3 linked regions of the Notamacropus eugenii genome follow. The protein of the gene in region 1 interacts with the protein of each later gene in a pairwise test. Links are inferred from orthologs where the notes say so. Each region holds a gene or a part of one and is shown in the gene's direction. Other genes may lie near its edges.

The links.
Region 2: the proteins of TOX4 (region 1) and FNDC3B interact in binary tests that used the Homo sapiens proteins (3 or more experiments, as listed by UniProt). The two-hybrid records come from large-scale screens. The link is inferred for Notamacropus eugenii from reciprocal best matches to the Homo sapiens genes TOX4 and FNDC3B.
Region 3: the proteins of TOX4 (region 1) and ZMYND19 interact in binary tests that used the Homo sapiens proteins (3 or more experiments, as listed by UniProt). The two-hybrid records come from large-scale screens. The link is inferred for Notamacropus eugenii from reciprocal best matches to the Homo sapiens genes TOX4 and ZMYND19.

What each region holds. Positions count from the first base shown.
Region 1 is NC_092878.1:12,453,319-12,457,062, reverse strand, and holds the start of TOX4 (TOX high mobility group box family member 4), read left to right. Parts: upstream 1-1,066; 5' UTR 1,067-1,348; coding exon 1,349-1,354; intron 1,355-1,600; coding exon 1,601-1,669; intron 1,670-3,744. Other genes in the region: RAB2B (ras-related protein Rab-2B), read right to left, coding at 538-609, 891-936. UniProt on the Homo sapiens protein: Transcription factor that modulates cell fate reprogramming from the somatic state to the pluripotent and neuronal fate. In liver, controls the expression of hormone-regulated gluconeogenic genes such as G6PC1 and PCK1.
Region 2 is NC_092877.1:352,137,687-352,141,430, reverse strand, and holds the start of FNDC3B (fibronectin type III domain-containing protein 3B), read left to right. Parts: upstream 1-1,465; 5' UTR 1,466-1,655; intron 1,656-2,340; exon of another isoform or gene 2,341-2,487; intron 2,488-3,744. UniProt on the Homo sapiens protein: May be a positive regulator of adipogenesis.
Region 3 is NC_092872.1:494,372,072-494,375,815, forward strand, and holds the start of ZMYND19 (zinc finger MYND domain-containing protein 19), read left to right. Parts: upstream 1-987; 5' UTR 988-1,173; coding exon 1,174-1,224; intron 1,225-2,988; coding exon 2,989-3,048; intron 3,049-3,530; coding exon 3,531-3,637; intron 3,638-3,744. UniProt on the Homo sapiens protein: May be involved as a regulatory molecule in GPR24/MCH-R1 signaling.

The sequences.
Region 1 (3,744 bases):
TTGCATCTGAAAATGACAAATATTGCCACTCGGGAATTCACTAAGCTCTTTCACAACTCACAAACCAACCAATCAATTTTTCTCTTGTCGTTACAACATATTAAAGCTGGAAGGATACTCCTTTTATTTTACAGATGAGGATACTGAAGCTTACGGAGAAGCAAGCTGCCCGAGGTCACCCAGACTGCAGCTACTCTTTGGTTTCTTTGTCAGTTATTTTTATTGTCTCCAACTTGACAATCACTTGACAGCACTCTTTCACAGACTCACAGAATTCAAAGCTGGAAGGGCTCTTAGTTACTGCTCTGATTTTATGGAGGGAGACCCTGAGCTCTAGAGACATGAAATGACTTTCCTAAGCTAGTCAAATCTATTTACCCCCAATTCATGCTCTTTCCATGAGACGAATCTGCCTTCGCCATTTTCTCTCCATTTATTAACACAACTTTTGGCTACTTAAAAGTGGAAGCCCATGGCTGCTAACTTTTAACTTCACACTTCTCACCCACTTTCCTTAGGGTGGCACAAAGTCCTTACCTATGGTGAGGTCGTGGACAGGCTGGAACCGCTTGTCTGTAAACTGCAGAAGGAGACATGACTTGCCCACACCTGAAAGAGGACGTGGGGACTCAGGTCCATCCTCCCGAGAGAGGAGGTGGGCAGGGCAGCCCAGAGGAAGGCACCAGGTGTGGCTGGCGTCGGCTCCCCCCGTGTCGCAAAGGGGCCAGAGCTCCTTCAGCCCCGCCCCGCCCCGCCCCCATCCTGGCCCCGCCCCCGACAGCGCCCCTCCGGGTGGCCCCGCCTCCCCAACGAGCCCCGCCCTCCCCTGGTGCCACCTTGGGCTTGCGAGCCCAGTCTCAGTTTAGCGGATGGCCCCGCTGGCCGAGTACCTGTGTCCCCGATGATGATGTACTTGAAGAGATAAGCGTAAGTCATGGTCCCGACCGCTGGTCCTCCCGACTTCTCTGGCCACCCACCTCCGGCCTCTCTAGCCACGCGACCTAGCGATATCTCTACTTCCCCATCCGGTCCCTCTAGCCCGAGATCACGTCTCTAGTGCTCTCCTCAGGAGCAGTTCAGTCGTCATGTGTGGCTGTAACTTGACACTTCCTCCCTCGAAGCCTCTGAGCCTCCAGCGGGCATTCTGGCCTCCGGCCGAAGGGGGCGCTGCCCAGCTCCTCATTTCCGCTCAGTCGCCTCCCTGCTGCAAACTCACCGCTTCTGCCAAAGAATCCTCCAATCCTCGGAGGGAGCCGCGAGTGTCGGCGGAAGTGACGCGTGTTCCGTTTCCGGCGGGGGCGGTGGGCGCTATGAGGGAGCTGAAGCGGTGGTAGCGGTTGTGTTGAAGATGGAGGTAGGATCCTGAGCCCGAAGGAGGCGGGAGGGAGAGAGAGAGAGAGAGAGAGAGAGAAAGAAAGAAAGAAAAGAGGCGAGAGGGAGAGGAGCAGAGGAAGGGGCCTGGGCGGAGAAGCGGCCGACGGGCGAGAGGAGCGGGGGAGGCGGCGGCGGGGGTCGGGGCAGAGTCAGAACCCGTCGCTCCAGCCTGACTCCCCGGCCCCCCCCACCCCTAACATCCCCGCGGGTTTCTTTTGGTTTCCAGTTTCCCGGAGGAAATGACAATTACCTGACGATCACAGGGTCCTCGCACCCCTTCCTGTCGGGGGCCGAGGTGAGCAAGATTGTTGCCAACGCGGGTGGAAGGGCGCCAGGCCCTTGGGGGCGGCGGGGGGGACCCGGGGCTGGGGAAGCGCTCTCGGACAGCCCAGCGCAGCCTAGAAGGGCGGGCCGAGGAGGAGGAAAGGCCGCAGGAGGGTCTCGAGTGGAAGGAAGAAGTGAGAGAGGCCCGAGAGGTTTTGCGGGAGGCAGTTGGAGCCACCGGACGACGCAGCCTCAGGGTGGAGGTTTTGTGGAAGAGCTGAGGTGGAAAGTGTAGTCGGAGCGGCTGGACCTGGCTTGGTTTTGTGGGGGGAGGGTGTTGTGACTGTAAGAAGCAGCGTGGTTTAGTCTCCACGTCCATACAAGCCTGAAGGGCCTGTTCAGAGCCGGTCCGTTTGTGCTGGGGCGCACTGCCTTTCCCTCCAGGTGATGAGAGTGTATTTTGTGAAGCAGAAGGGATGGCTGTGAAGAGTCTTAAGGTTCTTAACTTGAATCGTGGATCACGTGCTCCTGCCACTATCTTGGGAAGCAGACTTGGGTATCTCAGAAGACAGAAAGCCTTTCTTGGGTTTTTTTATTTTTTACTATTTTTAATGGAAGACCCAGTCTTTTTTTTAATGCAGCAAACATCCCAGGCCATCCTACCTGTTCTGCTGAGTTTGCTATCAATGAATGAGTTATTCTGCTTATCTGCAGTTGCTTCTTTTAACTCTTAGCCTTAGCGTTAGGTTGGGAAACTGGGCAGCTGCTTGTTAGATTTCAGCTCTTCTATTGACTTCTGTTTCTACTGAGATTCCCTATAAATCTTCAGCCTTAGCTACCCAGCCTAAATGGAAGACCTTTTAAGATCATGATGCTAAATGACCGATTCTTCTGGCTTCAGGGAAGCCAAAAACCAGACCTTTAACACGTTTAGATTGGTTCTTTGTGAATTCCAATGTGTTTTCTCATCTTCAGCTTCTCCTTGACTCATGCTTTTAGCGTCATTAAATTGTTTGGAATGTTGTGAACTCCAGAGTATTATCCTCATCCGTATTTAGATACTGCAATACTTCGAAATCCCATAATTTTATTTATGGGAATGTGCCAACCATGTGGCCCATAAGCTCTCTATTGCTTAGTACATGGCTTACTGAATTACTGTGGCTAAAAAAATTAATCATCTATTGGCCAATCATCTGGTGAGTATGAGACTATTTTATATTAGCTGGATTGGTCCTTAGACAAGTCAAACTCTTTGCATTTTTAGTGAGACCATTTGGAACTTGTTCCTTTTAAAGCCAAGATCACCCCCATTCTACAGTGAGACTTCAAAGTAGGATACTAGATGGAGGAGCCCTAATTTGTCCAGAGTTTTGAGTTCATCTGTGTAGAAGCTCCTGATTTGGACCTTCCTTCCATTGATACAGATAGGCAACCCATCCTTGGACATTAAAAGGTTAAGTGACTTGTCCATGATTATGTGGCTAGTATTTATTAAATGGGGTTACAAAAGTGGCATTCTAACCCCAGATATAAATGACTTAGATTATTCGCTATTTTAGATTCTGTTCCTTCTATTTTCTTGGATAATCAAGAATCACATCTGTCTGTCAATAATCAATAAACAAGTACCGCTACTACTAATGATGATGAACATTACTAGGATGCTTTAAAGTTTGCAAAGCACTTTAAGTATATTGTGATTTAATCTTCACAATGATCCTGTGAGGTAGATGGCTATTATCTCCATGTTATAGATTAAGAAACTTTGGTAGAGAGAGGTTGAGTGACTTGTTAAGCGACTGAGTCAGGATTTGAACTTAGATCTTCTTTGACTCCAAGTCAGAGTCTGTTCATTTGATATAATTAAGTCTAACCATTATACTACCATGTATCAGTCACTATACTAAGTACTAGAGATATATACTAAAAGAAAATTGTCCCTGCCCTCAAGGAACTTCATTCTAACAAATATATGTGGTTCCCTTCTTATTTATAATCAAGTGCTTGGAAAGCTGGAAAGTGCTATAGAAATAAATGTTAGCTATTATTATAATGTTATATAAAGAATGTTGTAGATTTAGGGCCATTCTACAGTTTTTTGAC
Region 2 (3,744 bases), on another chromosome or scaffold:
TCAATCTATATTAAGTAAGGGCCCACTAGGGGCCAATGCCTTTTTGTGACCCTCCTTGTGAGCCCTTTTCAGAATGTAGTATTCCATGTTTCTTGGTCCCAGAGTATGACCTGGTGAATATTGTTAAAAACATGGGCTCATATTTCAAGGAAAAATTTGTCCCAATGAAAAGCAATACACTTTTTCTAAAGGCTTCTTCATGCTTAATTCTTAGCCTAGTTCACTGTCTATCCTCAGTGTATTGATGGACCCACTGTTGAGGTTCTCCATCTCAACTGTAGGTGATAATATGGACGACTAGATAATAATTATAGTTAATATTTCTATAGCCCTTAATGTTTACAAGGTGCTTTACATATAGTATTGCCCTTGATCTTCCCAATCTTTTGAGTTAAGTGCTCTTATGGTCTCTTAAGAGATTGGGAAACTGAGGCAGAGGGAGATTAAGTGACTTGCCCAGGGTCACACACCTAGGAAGTGTCTGAGGTTAGATTTCAATAATAACAACCTCTCTGCTTGTTCCTCACTCTCATGTCATCTCAACCCCTTAGAATTCCAAGTTTCCAGCTTCAAGGATACTTCCTACAGATCTTTTCTGCTCCTTCACCCCCTCCAGCTGCTAGTGTTTCTCCAGAAAAATTATCCAGTATTTATTTGATATATATTTTGCATGCACTTTTTAATGTGGTGGCTCCATTCAATTCAATTTACATTTATTAAGCACCTACTATGTGCCAGGAATCTTGCTAAGCTCTGGGGATACAAAAGAGGCTGTCCCCAGAATATAAATTTCACTTTGTAACCCTAGCTTTGCCGACAATCAATAAGCATTTATTAGGCACTTATTTTGTGTACATCCACAGTGCTCGGCACATAGTAGGTCCATGATAAGCGTAATAAATTCAAATGGATAGCTTGATTCTGCCGTACTCATAGTCACTACTTTTAAGACCTTTGCGCGGCTTTATATATTTCCTGGCGCGTTTATTTCTTGGGTGTACAAAGTGTTACTTCTCCCTCAAGCAGACTGGAAGCTCTCTGAGGGTACAGACTCTCATTGTGCTTTGGTCCCGCCCCTAGGAATCCTCGCAAACTGCAGAGAAGAGGCAGCCGGGGGCCTTTCTCGAGTCCCCAGGCCCCGAGGGTGCTGTGGAAGCGTCCTGGGCCGGGGCACGCCCGCCTCTCCCTCGGCCCCGGGGCCGCCCTGGGCCTGCGAACGCGCATTTGTGCGGGTGGCGCTACTCGGCACTCTACGGTATGTGGGCTGGCCCCAAATCCCCATGTGGTCCCGACATCATTGACATGGCGGAATCCTCCCCCCAAAGCTGCTGCTAGTTATTTTAGCGGCGGCGGCTGGAGGAGGAGGAGGAGGAGGAGGAGGAGGAGGAGGAGAAGGAGGAGGAGGAGGAGGAGGAGGAGGAGGAGGAGGAGGGGGAGGAGGAGGGAGGAGCAGCGGAGGCGGCGGCGGCGGCGGCGGCGGCGGCAGGACGGATTTATCGGGCTGCCTGGCTGGAAGGGAGGGAAGGCAGGCCGGCCGGCAGGCAGGCAGGCAGACAGGCAGGCAGGCAGGCAGGCAGGCAGGCAGGCAGGCAGGCAGAGGGCGACCCCGTCTCTTACGCGCCCCCGGCACCCACCCTGCTCCAGCCCTCGGGAAGGTAAGGAGCGGCCGCCGCAGCGGCCGGGAAGGGTGGGCGGGCGGGAGCCAAGGAGCAGCCCCAGAGCTCAGGCTGGCGGCGGGGTCCCGCGCCTGGCCGAGGCGTTGGAGGAGCGGGACTGCCCCGGAAAGCCCCGGAGCCGAGCCCAGTCCCGCTAGTTGGTTCCAGGGAACCCTTGGGGTTTCGGGGGGACGTCCTCCTTTCTGAGCAGGAAAACTTCAGGCTTAAGTGGCGAGGCTGCGCTGGAGGCGGAGAGGGGCTGGGGTGCCCCGAGCCTCCCGCCCTCCCCCTTTCCCACCCCACCCCCACTTTCCGGGCTGGGGGAAGCTGGTGGGGGGGATACACCCGGGAAAGGGGGGCTGGGGATGGAGATGGGCGCCTACCGAAGTGTGAAAAGTGTGGGGGGGGAAGCATTTAGTGCGAAGATTCCTTCCCCTTCCCCCAATCAGTGCTTTGCCAAAAAACATTTTTCCAAGAAAAAGAAAAACCGGCCAATTTTAATTTCTTCTACGTTGTGCCTGCTCCCTGCTCCCTGCTCCAGCGCCCTGGCACCTCTGTCCCCCGCCCCTGGGTCCCCTGTCTCTGAGATCCCCCGCCCCCCATCTCGGTGTTAGGATCGTTGCCTGAAGGGGAGGGGAAAAGAGGGGAGGGGGTGCGGGGGGGGGTGGTGGAGGGAAGAAGGCTGCAGCGGAATCTTCGACGTGTCACTTTCCATATGGTGTGAGGGTTCAGCCCAGACCCATGAAAGAGCGCAAAGTGTTGCTGAAGTTTGGACGACTTTTGTGTGTGCGCCGGGGGGCGGGAGGGGCCCTCGGCGGGGCGGGCTCGGGAGGTGAGGATGCCTCTTTATTTTCTCCCCCTTTCTCTCCCCCCCCCCGTTCCTCCCTTTGCCGGGCTTTGTAGCCGGGGTGGGCTTTGGGTGCCGGGGCGCTGGGGGTTCCATGGCTACGGGCGTGGGAGGAGGGCCTGAGCGCTACAAAGTAGCCGTTTGCGGGACAGGAGGCTACAAAGTAGCAGTTTTTCGAACCTTCGCCGCTCGCCGAGCCCGGGAATCCCGGGAGACTCCTGGGGCGCAGCGGGACTCCCGGGCTCGGGTCTCCGGGTCAGGGCCCTGACATTTACTTACAATGCTCCCCCGCTCCTTCCACCCCTCCTCCCCCCTGGTCCCCCCTCCCCCCGCCAAATCCTTTCCTCCATATCTTCATTTCCCCGCTTTCTGGGTGTCCTCCTTGCGTCCCTGGGCTGCTTTTGGAAAGCCGTCGGCACTGTAGGGGTTGTTCCCAACTTGTAGAGTTGGGAAAGGGGTGAACGGTCAGAGGACCCTCCCGCCTCCCTCCAGCTCCCTTCCTTTCGCCTTCGGCCCCCAGTTGGGGGAGCTCAATCTGGTTGGGGAGGGAGGAGGAAGAGAATCTGTGCCCTGAGGCAGGAGCGCTGAGAGCTGGGGAAGAAGGAGGGAGGGACGCGGAGGCTCCTAGGGGCCCAGAAAGCTGGAGCCTAGGCTCGGGTCGCGGGTCCTGGCTGGGGGCTGCACTCACTCTTCGGCCCGAGGTGTTGGGCCTGGGCCTGGGGCTGGGGGAGAAGCACCGGGCACTGTAGAGAGTGGGATCGGGGGGCTGAGGATGAGGATGGTGCGGGAAGGGTCTGTCACTCCAGTGCAAAAAAATGGGGGGAAAAAGCCGGAGGCGTTTTGTGGCTCCAGCGGAGGCCCGAGCTCTCCGCGTAAACTTTTCCAAAATGTCTGGATACGGGGGGGAGAAGGAGACTGGGGACCGAGCCAAGGCAACTTTTCTACCCAGATGAGTTTGTGCCTCATGGAAAAGGGGTCTGAACCTTGGTTTGCAAGATATCGCCCAGTTGGAACACTTGTTGAGCTGGGCTGGACTCGGGCAGTAGAGATGGGGGGATGGGGATTTTTTCTTTGGAGTAAGACTTTGTCTTAAGCCCTCGCTCTGCCATCCCAGACGAAAAGAAAGAAATGGCATTTTACCAAGACATATTACGGTTTGCGGACTCTTTTAAAAGTTAACCACCCTTCCCCCCCCCCCCCCCCAGTGTTTTTCTTTAAATCGCATTTGGATTTGGGCCGAGG
Region 3 (3,744 bases), on another chromosome or scaffold:
AGTACCTACCTCCCAGGGCTGTACGGAGGATCAGACCAGACAGTGACTGTAAAATGTTTGGCAAGGCGCCTGGCACATAGTCAGCACCCCATAAATGCCAGCTGTTAGGAAGGACTAAACGCGGGGAAACAACTGCCTTTAAACGAATTTAGTGTCAGCGTTCTAACAAAGAAGTGTTGTTTTCCAGTGAAGGGAAATAGTTTTCAGTCCCAAGTCCCCTGCCTCCTCCTCTTTTGGGGCTAGCTAGGCCTGGGCTGGGCGGGGAAGGAAGGGCAGGAGCTTGAGAGAAGCCGCAGGCTTCAACCACGGCCGGGGGCCTGCAGAGGGAGCGGTGCAAAAGGAACCGGAGGCCGGGGGACGAGGGAGGCCAAAGGCTCCCGCGAGCCGGGAGACCCGGCTCTCAGCCTCGGGTGGCGTCCCGATGAATCTCTAAGACCCGGCACTCCCCCTTCTGGGCTAGCTCCCCTCGAAGTAAAATGAGGCGGGGGGCTAGAGGGCCTTGAACGCCCAGGGTGCTCTGAGATGTATAACTCAGACCCTCCCGGACAGGGAGGACCAAGCAAGCGTGCCTGCGGCCCGAGAGACCACATGGACCGAACTCCAGACTCGATGTCTCGGGGACTCTGCGGCCCCTTTAAGGGCACCCACACTGCTCCGCCCCATTCCACCCCTATGGAGATTCTCGGCTGGGTTCGAAGCACAAAGCTTCCCGCGAAAACTACGTCAGAACGGAGCGCGCGCGCGGGAAGCTCCTCCCCCCCACTTCTTTCTCCCCTTTCCCCTTCCTTTGGTCCTCCGCTGACTCCGGTCTCCCCTCCTCCTTTCCCCTCCCCCTTAGTGGACCGGCGCACTCCCTATATTCCTATTGGTCCGTAGAGTCCGGCGGGCGGTGCGGCTCTTGATTGGTCCGAGTGCAGAGGGCTGAGGGGGGTGTGTCCGGCGCGGCGCGGCGCGCGGCGCGGCCCCGCCCCTCCCCTGGCTGTGTGCGCGAGGCGGCTGTGGCGGCGGCGGCGGCGGCGGTGGCGGCGCGTGGCAGGCCCCGGCCGGCGGGCGGGAGGAAGCGGTGGCGGCGGCGGCGGCTGCGACGGCCAGGGCCTTAGCCTCGGCCTCGGCCCCGGCCTGAGGGAGAGAGGGATCGCGGGTGGTGGCGGCTACGAGCGGGAGGCCCTGGCCATGACCGACTTCAAGCTGGGCATCGTGCGGCTCGGCCGAGTGGCCGGGAAGGTGAGCGGCCCGGGGCTGGGAGGGCGAACGGAGCGGGCGGAGGCCGCGGTCGCCATGAGGGCCCGCAGAGAGACGGAGGCCTCTCACGGGGGGCCCCGAGCCGGGGAAGTCCAGCAGCCGAGGCCGCGCTCCAGAGCTCCGAGGCTGCTGATCCCCGCGGGGCCCGCCCACCCACGGCCCGGGAGTGGCCGCCGCCAGGGTGTTCCTCCCTCCCCCCGGTACGGAGCCGCTTGTGTATCCTGGCCAGGCCTCAGCCCCCCGACTTCCAGCGAGGCCCCAGGGCGGCGGGGATGCCCCCCCCACCCCCGGCCACCCGACCCTGGCAGCCCGAGTCCTCCAGCCTCACCGGGGTGTCAGGTGTCAGGCTGTCTGCTCCACTCCCCCCACCCCCGGGCGCTCCGGCTCTTGGCGTGAGCGCTGAGGTCTGTGGTCCAGCGGAGGGCCAGTCCGGGGCGGCTGAAGTTTCGAGGAACGTCCAGGTTCCCGGGCTCCGTGGGATACAGCAGCATAAGTCTGGAGGGGTGTTTAGGTGTGAAGGGTCTGGGGGCGCCCCGGCTCTGGTGCTGCTTGCTTCTTGGGGTAGGTGCGGTCTAACTCCCGCGATCCCGAATGCTTCTGGGGTGCCTGGCTCGCACAAGCCTCCTTGAAGGCTTGTTTTGTTGAAAGAAAGGAAAAAGGTGTTGTGTGCCAGGTTCCAGGGTTTCCTGGCTGGTTCTGTGGAATGATCCCCGTGACCTTTCGCTGCCCGAGCGAAGCCCACTAGGAGGATAAGTGCATTTTTTTTCTACCTGTGCTAAGGTCACTGGATTGAACTAAGGAGTTTGCCTGGGGAAGCCAGTGAGCAACTAGTTACACTGTTGTGTCACACTGGCCTAGAACAGTAGGGGGAGCCTGGGGAATTAGTGCCATGGAGCAGCACCTGAGCCAGATGTAGGTGGCACTTTACCATCATCATCTTCTTCATAGCTAGCATTTCTAGAGTACGTGCTTTAGGGTGAGTAAAATGTCATGTAAAAACAGGCCTCCCCTCACCTCTTATCTACTCTTCTTGCTTTCTCCTTGTTTTCTTCACCTGATTTCTCACTCTGTTTTGTTCCTCTTCCTTTTACATATTTTGTGTATGGATTAAACCACCAGTGGTACCTGTGAACATTTTTGCTCCCTGGTGCCACCAGCACGTTCTAGTTGTTGACTGCCTGGTCTGGTGAAAAAGTCTGGTCCAGGAAAGCCTTGCTGGTGGCTTCCTGGTTGGTTCTCTTGTGGCTAGCTCTTGATAGATGAGAGAGGCAAGTAGAGTAGGGGACAGGCCCCTTAAGCATCGGCGGCAATTGGGAGTAAAGCCATTTCATTTACATGAAGGCTGGAGGTCTGTACACATGAAGAAATTTAATGGGAAGTTTATTTGTCTTGATAAATTTTTCTACTTAAGTTAATCTTTTTGATGCAGAAGAGGAAGATTCTGATAACTATCATTCCAAGACATTTATATTTAGTCTGATGACAGTGCTGATTTTTGGCCTGTGCTATGCAAAACATTTAGTACCGTAGTGAATTCCTTTACTTACTATTATTACCTCCCCTTGTTATTTACTCATCTAATTGAGGGCAGGTGAGTCAAGGTGATTAAAATAACATTTAGTTACCATCTAACTTCAGAGTTTAAATGTGATTCATAACTTCCTATTGCAATTATTTCACTGTTGGTCTTAACCTAGCTTTGTTCATGATAAATGTAATTCTTTACAATGTCTGGTTAATTTTCAGACAAAGTACACGCTGATAGATGAACAAGACATCCCACTGGTGGAGAGTTACTCTTTTGAGGTGAGAATGGTCTGTTCCTGGGGTTGGGTTGTGGTTGGACATTAAGAACCTAGAGAAATTATGAATACATTTTAATATTCTTTCTTCCTGCTCGTACTCTGGGAATGAGATTCCTCTAGATGAATAACTAACGCTAGTTCTGAATCACTTCAAGACCAGAGATGACTAAGTCAGCTAATTTTGATCAATTTTGGTAGTCCCTGACAAGTAGAACTATACTATATCCTATATTCAAATTAGAATTTGTATCAGAAACTTTGGTTTCTTCTTTCATGGCCATGTTTTTAGGAGCAGATGATTTGGGTCCAGTTTTTGTTATCCCCTGTACCACTGACGTCCATGAGGACCAGATGGTTTTTTTCCCAGAATACTAGGGATTAAGCTAACATTTTCAATGGTTTTATTTCTTTTTTCCACCAGTTTGATTTTGAAGTGTTGTTGCAAGATGGATGATTTTAAGTATTTTCCTTGTCCTATCCCAGGCCCGAATGGAAGTAGATGCTGATGGAAATGGTGCTAAAATTTTTGCTTATGCTTTTGACAAAAATCGAGGAAGGGGATCTGGACGTTTACTTCATGAGTTGTTGTGGTGGGTATTGTGTAGAGATCAATATTTCCGTCTTTTATTTGGGGTGTGGCTAGAGTTTGTAGAGTCTGCCACTTATCCATCCAGTCTCCTTAGTCTCCCTGAATAAG